Mus musculus: one gene and its partners. The protein of the gene in region 3 interacts with the protein of the main gene of each other region in a biochemical or structural test. Links are inferred from orthologs where the notes say so. Each region holds a gene or a part of one and is shown on either strand. Other genes may lie near its edges.

The links. The genes of interacting proteins can lie anywhere in the genome.
Region 1: the proteins of Reln (region 3) and Vldlr form a complex in vitro, tested with the Homo sapiens proteins (6 studies listed by BioGRID). The link is inferred for Mus musculus from reciprocal best matches to the Homo sapiens genes RELN and VLDLR.
Region 2: the proteins of Reln (region 3) and Lrp8 form a complex in vitro, tested with the Homo sapiens proteins (7 studies listed by BioGRID). The link is inferred for Mus musculus from reciprocal best matches to the Homo sapiens genes RELN and LRP8.

What each region holds. Positions count from the first base shown.
Region 1 is NC_000085.6:27,237,520-27,241,019, forward strand, and holds part of Vldlr (very low-density lipoprotein receptor isoform b precursor), read left to right. Parts: intron 1-533; coding exon 534-905; intron 906-990; coding exon 991-1,113; intron 1,114-1,204; coding exon 1,205-1,327; intron 1,328-2,102; coding exon 2,103-2,222; intron 2,223-2,325; coding exon 2,326-2,451; intron 2,452-2,946; coding exon 2,947-3,118; intron 3,119-3,500. UniProt on the Homo sapiens protein: Multifunctional cell surface receptor that binds VLDL and transports it into cells by endocytosis and therefore plays an important role in energy metabolism.
Region 2 is NC_000070.6:107,840,259-107,843,758, reverse strand, and holds part of Lrp8 (low-density lipoprotein receptor-related protein 8 isoform a precursor), read right to left. Parts: intron 544-3,500; coding exon 415-543; intron 409-414; exon of another isoform or gene 1-408. UniProt on the Homo sapiens protein: Cell surface receptor for Reelin (RELN) and apolipoprotein E (apoE)-containing ligands. LRP8 participates in transmitting the extracellular Reelin signal to intracellular signaling processes, by binding to DAB1 on its cytoplasmic tail.
Region 3 is NC_000071.6:22,037,206-22,040,705, forward strand, and holds part of Reln (reelin isoform 1 precursor), read right to left. Parts: intron 3,332-3,500; coding exon 3,098-3,331; intron 2,468-3,097; coding exon 2,306-2,467; intron 1-2,305. UniProt on the Homo sapiens protein: Extracellular matrix serine protease secreted by pioneer neurons that plays a role in layering of neurons in the cerebral cortex and cerebellum by coordinating cell positioning during neurodevelopment.

The DNA of each region.
Region 1 (3,500 bases), on a different chromosome or scaffold from region 3:
TTTATTTAAAAGACTCAAAAGGAAGGAACCATGTAGAGTGTTCTTTGGTTTGTTTCTTTTTGGAGAGTGCCTTATTTTCCATTATACCTTGCCCATATAGCTGATGTATATTCTCAGCTAGTGATATGACTTCAGCTGACATGCAATAGGTTGGTCTAGGTATAAACGCTGCCTTCCAAAATGAAATACCCAAGGCCAGCTTAAGCTTTTGAACACTGTCCCTTTAAGTGTCAGTTGTGGGTCTCATCTCGAATTAGTTTCGAGCCTTCTACTGTTTTCTTGGTCCTTTATTTCTGCTCTTACACATAGTATGGCTGCATCTTATTTTATACTGTGAAACTGTTTTGTCATATTTCAGAAACTCGTTCTCAATATAACAGCACTGTAGCTTTACAATTAGAAAGCTAAAGTTACTCATCGAAGATGAATATATTTGATTTGGTGATGAGAGGCTTGTATGTTGTCTTTTTGTTTGTATGTTTGTTTTTTTATAAGTGCTGATGTACTTTCAATGGGCATCCTCCCTCTAACAGGCAACATAACATGTAGTGCAGATGAGTTCACTTGCTCCAGTGGCCGCTGCGTCTCCAGAAACTTTGTGTGCAATGGCCAGGATGACTGTGACGATGGCAGTGATGAGCTGGACTGTGCTCCACCAACCTGCGGAGCCCACGAGTTCCAGTGCAGCACCTCTTCCTGCATTCCCCTCAGCTGGGTGTGTGATGATGACGCAGACTGTTCAGACCAATCAGACGAGTCTCTTGAGCAGTGTGGCCGTCAGCCTGTGATACATACCAAATGTCCTACCAGTGAGATCCAGTGTGGCTCTGGCGAGTGCATTCACAAAAAATGGCGGTGTGACGGAGACCCTGACTGCAAGGACGGCAGCGATGAGGTCAACTGCCGTAAGTAACTTTCCAGTTCAATTCCATGCGCCAACCGGAAGCCATTTGGCTGACTTCATTCCATCATTGTTACCTTCTTTCGTAGCTTCTCGAACCTGCCGACCTGACCAGTTTGAATGTGAAGATGGTAGCTGTATCCACGGCAGCAGGCAATGCAATGGCATCCGAGACTGTGTTGATGGCTCTGATGAAGTCAACTGCAAAAACGGTGAGGTTCTTTCTCCATTGTGTTTGGTTAGGCTATTGGCTACTCCTGTCAGAACAGCAGTGGAACTTTTCTCCTGTGTTTGAATTTATAGTCAATCAGTGCCTGGGCCCTGGAAAGTTCAAGTGCAGAAGCGGGGAATGCATAGACATGAGCAAAGTATGTGACCAGGAACAAGACTGCAGAGACTGGAGTGACGAGCCCCTGAAGGAATGCCGTAAGTGAGAGGGAGGCTTGCTCGGGGCCAGAGCTGAGAGGTTCCATTCAGCCCTAATGCTGTTTTGGACACAGCTTAGTTCTCTGTTGAACTCAGAATGAGCTAATTTTTAATAGTTAAGCTTGAAGATAAAGTATTTCAAAGTGGAATTTTAGCCCATGACAAACTAACTCAGGGTTGAGAAACCCCTTAAGATAGCTAAAAGTCATAGCAAAACTTGAGTAAATCCTTAATAACTAACTACCATCCAGCCTGAAATGTATATCTCCCAAACACATAATAAAATCTTTGAAAGGCCATCACCAATAGCCGGAGACTGAATGTGAATAAGACAACTATCAATTAAGAATAAGATGTCGCCAGGCGGTGGTGGTGCATGCCTTTAATCCCAGCACTTGGGAGGCAGAGGCAGGCGGATTTCTGAGTTCGAGGCCAGCCTGGTCTACAGAGTGAGTTCCAGGACAGCCAGGGCTATACAGAGAAACTCTGTCTCAAAAAACAAAACGAACAAACAAACAAACAAAAGCAAAACAAAAGAATAAGATGTCATACTAATTTGGACTCTGGGTTTATAAAACAGAAAACAAAATGACCACTAGGAAATTGGGAGGGAGATGTTTGTGCAGCATCTTCAGAGAGTTGGGTGGAGTGTCATGTTGGATATGATCAAAATACATTGTATCTGTATGTGGAAGTCTCAAAGAATAAATCTAAAACATTGTATTCAAAGCAAATAAATAAGCTATCAGATGACTCTGCTACCCTTTTATTCCAGATATCAACGAATGCCTGGTCAATAATGGTGGCTGTTCCCATATCTGCAAAGACCTAGTTATAGGTTATGAGTGTGATTGTGCAGCTGGGTTTGAACTGATAGATAGGAAAACCTGTGGAGGTGAGTTGAAGCAAAGAGCCTGGCCCCTGGCGGACACGGGAAAGGGCAACATACATCTAGTGAGGCATAGGAAGAACAAGACTAATTCTAATTTCCCTCCTAGATATTGATGAATGCCAAAACCCGGGGATCTGCAGTCAAATTTGTATCAACTTAAAAGGCGGTTACAAGTGTGAATGTAGTCGTGGCTATCAAATGGATCTTGCCACTGGCGTGTGCAAGGCAGTAGGTAAATAGACTTGGGCTGGTGTTGCTCTGGTACCTTTTTGAGTTAGTGATTCTAAAAGGTACAGTTGGTGACTGCAGCAGTCAACCTACACATAAAGTCACACCCCAGAGCAATGCTATTAAACTCTGAGTGCAGCAGGATAGCTGAAAATAAACCATCTTCCCACACATCTGCCTTGGTCCTTCCTTTTGCATAGGATACTGTGAATAGTCACCGTAGTTTCTTCCTTTCTGCTTCTAAAACTGAGCACAATTCAAACAAGTAACTTGTTTATCAGCCACCCTACTTTCGGATGCTGTAACCCCAAGACTGCCTTCCTAAACAGGGTGGAAATACTTGCAGGTCCTAGGGGAGGGGAGGGGTGCCTGGAAATCCAGGCTGGATACTACTGAGATGTTCAGCAGTATCTTTACAAGTGGTCCTCTGTGGAGAGGAGATGACTTAGAGGATCTTGCCTTCGAGCAAAACTAAATCAACCTGGCTTATGTCTTGCAGGCAAAGAGCCGAGTCTGATCTTCACTAATCGAAGAGACATCAGGAAGATTGGCCTAGAGAGAAAGGAATACATCCAACTTGTAGAGCAACTAAGGAACACGGTGGCTCTCGATGCGGACATTGCAGCTCAGAAGCTGTTTTGGGCTGATCTCAGCCAGAAGGCCATCTTCAGGTAACTTCCACTTGCACCCCTGATGTCTGGGAATCTACGTCACTGTCATTAGGTCTGTGGAAAGGATTGGAGTATGCATGGGTCTTCTCTTGTCTGTGACTCCTATCTACCATCTACTTAGCTAGGAGTTTTAAATTCAACACTGATTTATTTTTAGCTATTAAATGATCACCAGAAGTTACCTTGATAATCATTGATCATGATGTAAAAGGTGCCTATGCCTGAATATGACATCAGAATTTCTCCCCTTTTGTGGTTGTGAACTGAATTGTCTTGCTACAAACAGAAATGATAGCAGCAGCTTTCCCTCAGTTGACACCGTAGACCCAAGATGATGGCTACTGAGTTGAATATCTCTTTTCAAATTTTGCTGGGCTTTGAG
Region 2 (3,500 bases), on a different chromosome or scaffold from region 3:
ACATGCCCTATCCCCAGTGCTGCTAGTGTGCTGGCACGAGACACCACATTTCGTACAGCCCAGTTTTTGGTCCCCCTGTTCTTGTTCGGAGATCAGTGGAAACGGTAGAATTGTAGAATGGATGAGCAGATGTCAGACATGGTAGAAAGCTGTGTGTAGACCTGAATTTGAATCTCAGTTCCACCCCCTCAGCCTTGGGCATGTTTCCTCCCTTGTCTGAGCCTCAGTTTCCTCATCCATTAAATGGGGATGGTAATGGCTATTCATGAGGTGGTCATGAGGGTGAGAGAAGAGAATGTCTCCTACGTGCCCAGCCGTTTGTTTCTAATGGTAGCATTATTCTTCCCTTCCCGCCGACCCTCCCAAGAAGAGGTCATCACTCCGAGGCTGCCTGACCACTGGCCCTGGACTCACAGGTGGGACAGCCGGCCTCGTCAGCACCACCCTCACAGTCCTTCTCTCCGTCGCAGCGCCATGAGGCAGGCACACACTTGTGGCTGGTGGGTCCGCAGCTTAACTTCTCGGCAGGACACTCTTCACTGGCTGTAAAGACAGACATCCGTGCACGGCTTAGCTAAGGGTGACACAGGTCATAGCACCAACCAGTCCTGCTACTGGGCTTAAGTCCCTGGCAGTCCACTGGGGCCCTCCTGCTCCATGTCTTCATCGGAAGCCAACCTCTTCTAAAGGCTTGCTGTGTCCTAAATCCGACCTCACCCCACACCGACCGGATCTAACACTCTCTCAGAGTCTCCTAGTCTAAAGCTCACAAGTCTTTCTTGACCCAAGGGCTCCTACATGTCTTCCCTTTAAGATCCAGCACTGTGGAGTCGCCACACCCTTGATATGTTCCAGCTGTGCGCCTCTGGGTAAGTAAGATATGGCTAACTGGACCTCAGTTTACCTTCCAGATCAGCAACTGTCATCTGAACCTGTGGGTTTGGAGGGCTCACCAAAACCTTACCAGCAACAATCTAAGTCTCTGCAAAGATGGTGTTGAGCCCACCACAGAGAGCAGCCTCCACGTGCAGGACCCAGCGGGAGTACGCAGCTATAATTACTGCAGCTGCAATCAGAGGCTGACTCAAGCAGGGGCCTAGAGCCCCTGGGTTGATTCTCAATCTGAAAGAATGAGAACCCTTTCAGGACTTGGGGAAGCTCTTCCTCTGAGCTTCCCTTCCTCCACATGACAGGCGAGGCAGATGCATTTACGACCTCTGGTTGGCTCCCTGATGCCTTCCACAGTGTGCAGGAGTCCCGGCCTCAGTTAGATTGTGCCAGGCACAGTGCTAGGCGCTTCCATTTGATCTTTATAATAACCCTGCAGGGTGAGGATTATGTCTCGGCCTCCAGCGTGGGAAGTAGGGTGTGGGCTCTGGAAGCCGCTGCCTGGGCTGGAATCGGAGCTCAGTCACTCGCTGGCCACGTGACCTTAGCCTAACCACTTCTCTTTGTCTCAATAAAGTGTAGGTGACACAATGACCTGCTGTATAGGATCGTTTTAGTGACCAGATTAATATCTGTAAAATGCTTAGAAGAACACTCAGCCTACGCTTGCTACGTGTTACTATTATCCACACATAATCAATGAGACTCCGAGTCTTGTAAATCCATTCAATGAATAACATTGAGCACTGCTGGATACCAGACATGATGCTAAGTCTTGAGTTCCAGACACACACACACACATGCCACACACATGCACACACACACACACACACACACGCATACACACATGCACACGCACACAAGAATGACATGAGGGTTTGGCACATTTGTCTGATACACAGTTTTATACCCCCAGAAGAAGGGTGATTCCTGTCTCGCTCTGATCTATGATCTGTTTCCTCTCATTTGATTTCATGGCTGGAATGAAAGGCCACAAGAGAACAAAAGCGGGCCGATGCAAGAAAAGGCACAGAAAAGTGGGCAGTGAGCAGGGTGAGGGGCAGTGGGTAGGATGAGGGGCAGTGGGGAGGAGGAGGGGAAGTGGGCAGGGGGAGGTGAGTGGGCAGGGGGAGTGGGCAGGGGCGGGGAGGGGAAGTGGGCAGGGGGAGTGGGCAGGGGTAGGAGGAGTAGACAGGGTTAGGGGCAGTGGGCAGGGGGAGGGGCGGGTGTCTAAATCAAGGTCCCCAGGTGATCACACACTACTTCAGTGTGAGGAGAGTGGATCCTGAAGCTATCCCATGAACACCTGTCATGGAGTCAGCTGCAGTTCACAGTTCACTCTGCATGAGGTAACTGTCAGGTAGATCTCGAATACTCAGTGAGCTTTTAAAATGGCCACTTTTGCTGGAAGATGGTGGCACATACATTTAATTCCAGCACTCAGGAGGTGGAAATGGGCAAATCTCTGAGTTCAAGGCCAACCTGGTCTACAGAATGAGTTCCAGGACAGCCAGGGCCTACACAGAAAAACCCTGACCAATAGATAGATAGATAGATAGATAGATAGATAGATAGATAGATAGATAGATAGACAAACAAACAAACAAATAAATAAATAAAGCAAGCTGCTTTGGGCCGGGCAGTGGTGGCACACGCCTTTAATCCCAGCACTTGGAAGGCAGAGGTAGGTGGATTTCTGAGTTCAAGGCCAGCCTGATCTACAAAGTGAGTTCCAGGACAGCTAGGGCTACACAGAGAAACCCTGTCTCAAAAAACAAAAAACAAAAACAAAACAAAAAAAGCTGCTTTGGTTGTCTTGTGGGGTGATGAAGTGGGGTGGGCATTTGGGAAGGGCACGTCTGTCATCAATGTTGGAATGCCATGAGCACTTCTTGATGCCTCAGAGCATGAAGCAGCCGGAGCTGACTGCTGGCTCTCAGACGGAACTAACCGAGAGGCAGGAGCTGAGGGGGCTGTTGAAAGCTCAAGTTCCTGGCCCCAAGTCATGGTGACTGAATCGGGATGCTGAAGGTAAAGGAATTTGCATTTTTAAAAAGTTTTATATTTTCCTTCCAGTGAATGTGTGTCTGCTTTCTGTATAGGGTATGGTAGGGAGAGGGAAATGGAATCAGATCCCTGGGTGCTGGAACCAAACCCCGGGCCCTCTGGGAAAGCAGAAAGCACGTTTAACCCCTGAGCTCCAGGCCCTGGAACCTGCACCTTAGTAACTACTTTCAACCAAATCCAGATACCTCTGTGGGACAGCCTGAGTCTGCATGTGGAAAAGGCATGGCACACTTCATCTTTTGGTAATACCATGGCCCCCTAGTGAACCAGGGCTTCAAATGTTTGCAGCCCCCCACCCACCCAAGAAAGCAACGGGTGGTGGAGAAGGTGAGCCCTGGGCACTACCCACTCATAAAGCTTAGCCTCACGGGGAGTGGAAAGGGCTACGGCCACAGTTACAGGCCTGTAAGTGGGTCAGCCTGCTCAGGTTCAATGCTGTTTTCCCATTCCACCTGACCACCTGTAGGAGGCAACTAAGACACTGAGAGCAATGCCATCACCAATGGAGCTAATGCCCTCTCAGAAAAGCTGCAGATGGCTCAAAA
Region 3 (3,500 bases):
TTTTATTTGTGGGGGCGGAGTCTCTAGCTGAGCCTTGAGTTGAGCTCTGTTCATGTAGGCGGATTGACCCAGGTGATCTAAGCTTTGCCTTGCAAGCAGCTGCCCACATTGACCAACTTTTATGTGGGTTTTGGGATCCTGAACTTGGATCCACTGAGCCACTTCCCCAGGCTTCAGGGAATTTTATTTGTATTTGATAATTATATATATATGAATGAATTGGGAAACTTGAAACAAAGGAATCAAACCCAATAAATAACCAAGGCATAAAAATTGATTGAGATTTGATTTTTAAATAATTTTAAACTATAAAAACATAAGAAAAAGGCTGAAATAAATTTAAGCTCTAACAGAATTATGATATTTTACACTAATAAAAGTACCAACTAGTTCACAAGGTATTCATTCAGATTAGGCATATTATAAGATTTCAGATTTGATAAGTAAGCAGACAGTTCTTTTATTTTTGAATGAATCACAACCTATCTGAAACTGTCCTTTCGCGATAGTGGTGGCGAGCTAGAAGACCAACATATGGCCCATACTTCATTTCTGAACAACTAGGACATCAAGAGATAATATAGGATTGAAAGCAATTACAGGAAGCAACTTATACTGAAGAAAACAGATGACATGGCTAAAGGCATCAAGATATATTTAACTCTATGAAAAATTTCCATGGTTTGTATTATTTATTATGAAGAATATAATTTAGCACCTGGAATATATCAAATTCTACTTCTGCCATGTCAGCTTTTATTAATATTTGTGAGGGAGAGAAGGAGGGAGGAAGAGTCTTACAGTCAGATGTGTAAGTGCAGAAAATGAGGGTTTGGGGGCCATTAACATTCTTCTTAAAAAAAAAAATCCTCCACTCTGACCTTAATCTTTTAAAGCCAACACATTCCTAAAACTGAAAAGTTGCCTTAATTCTGCCTAGAAGAAGAATGTTACTATCAAATGGTGGGCACAGCTAAACACACCTTTGCAGTAGCACATTATATATGTCATTATCTTTCACAATAACAAAGATGAATTATATTTAATTATATAGATTGATTGCAGAATTTTGCAGCTGTCTATCTTTGTCAGGACATTGGGCATTAGGCAAAGTTCACTTAGGATAATAATATTTTCTTCATGGTTTCATCCTGTTGCTTTTTGTTTAATTTATTGATTCATACTAACTATGGAGAGTCCCTGGAGCATTTCTGTGGCCTTGTGTATCTCTGAGTGATAAAGAGAATTTAGTCTTACATGTTTACATGTACAACAGAAGTATCCACCAAAGCTGGGGCATGTTTTAGTGGGTAAAGTTTAGGTCACAATAGTGAGTGATTGGCTCTGATACACTCTACTTCATTTTATGCACAAAGTTATTATCTTACTTGCAAATGATTAAAGTAGGAGTGTCCATTACAAGACTGTAAAATATGTAGCATGAGTCCTCTTTTCTCTTACTTTTAAGCCTTGTCTGCTCCCATGGTGCCAGGGCAAATCTTGAGGGCCAACCCTCTCTACATCCCAGGAGAAAAGGGTACTTCCCAGAAGGAAGTAGCAGGAGTTTGCACATGACTGTAAGTGTGGTACAGTGCTCGTCTCTAATGGTGCTTCACTTGATACCTTAAGTGTGAGTTTGCCCTTCCTTCTCTCCCTTGGTTCTTTCTAGAGGACTTTCCTGAGAAGGCCCATGTATATTATAACAGGCAAGAGTATCTTTGAAACATTGAAACATTGGTGGGTAACATTCTGTCGTCACTGAAGGATAGTCCCATTAGGTAAATCTTACTCTGGCAGTCGTGTCTATAGCCATGAAATACACAGGCAGAGAGAAACAGAAGTGGCCAGAGGAAAGGATTTTATTTATATCTTCACATATGCCATTGCCAGGGACTCAATACATGTGAGAAAAATTTAGTTGTATTTACTATTTAATTTTACTGCATGAAAACTCAAAACATGCTGGTTATGAATTATTTAATGAATTATTATAATATTTACATGTAACTTATTATTACAAAATGTTCTATTGTTAAGAATAACAGTATAGGCTGTAGTTCTTTCCTAACTATCAAAGTATTTCCCTTAGATACATATTTCAAAATACAAGAACATATTTTTTTGAAGTATTGAAATCAGCAGGACTAATAGATTAAATAATATGACTTACCAATATTTCATTACAGTAGAAGAATATACAGAATCCTATATACTTTGGCCCTCCATGCTACTGTAAAATGGAATTATGGTTCTCTCCAGGAAGGAAGTCTTACGGAATCACTGCTGCTGCTGTGCTCTGACGTACCTGGGCTCGTGGTAGTTGACGTAGGAATAGTGCTCCAGGAGTTTCCATGTTATCCCGTTGTCATATGAATAGTGCAGCAGGACTCCCTCCCCCGGCTGGTCAGGGGCTCTGCACGTGCTCAGCACAGACTTGCTCCCCAGCCTCAGTGTAAACTGAAGAAACCTAGACACGAGTAACTCATGATTAGTGAGCACATTAATATTCTTTTTGATAGACTAAGTTTTGTTTCCAAAGAATTTCACAATCATTGAAATGAACATCTCAGAAGCTCTAGACTAACATCACTGTCTTATGAAATAGAAGTCATTGTACCGTGAGATGTATAAGTGTAGAAGGTGTGTATATATTTTATAGATACATCTGTATACTTATAACTCCTTGTATACTGTGTACTTGTATATACATACTTAAAACGCCAATCATTCTTTTACTGCATTATTTATCAGGCACTGGGGGAAGGGCTGACACAGAGTAAATCTAATCAGCCCCTGCAAGCTGTCAAATAAATAAACTACATGAATAATTAACCAGGTTTTGGCTTAAGAACACAGTTTTGATGCGCGCATCTCATATTTTAAAAATGTCAGTTGTTAGTAGCTCAAAGTCATTGGTGAGTCTTCTAGTTTATTAAAAACTAGAGAAAATTCATTATAAACAAACTCAGCATTCTTCCAGCCTACTTAGACACTAGAAGATATATCCATCTAGTAAAAGAAAAAAGACTACAAACTGAAAGTGGATCCAAACCCAATCACATGCTTGCTGTGTATGCTCTAGCCCACCGGCACTCACCTGGACTGCGAGCTGTCCAGAAAGGACGTGATTAGCTGCCGCCTCCCATCTTTGTTGAAAACCAGAGCCTTACCACTGGCTAAGACACCACAACCAAAGCTGACTTCAGCACCACGGATAGAGTAAAAGTTATGGTAAGAGGAAAGTCTGGCACTGCCAAAGCTTTCCGAAATAAACATTGGGAATGTCTGAGATGCCATCTCACAAGCTGGGCCAGAAAATCCTGGGTCACACCTGAAAGAAAGACAGAAAGGTACTGGAAATGAGTCTTGAGCTGTAGGTCCTTCAGAGCCTGCTGATCTTGATAGTCCATCCTTTGAATATTCCTGGGCTTACGTGTGTGTGTGTGTGTGTGTGTGTGTGTGTGTAGTGTGTGGTGTGAGGTTGGTGGGCAGGGGATGGG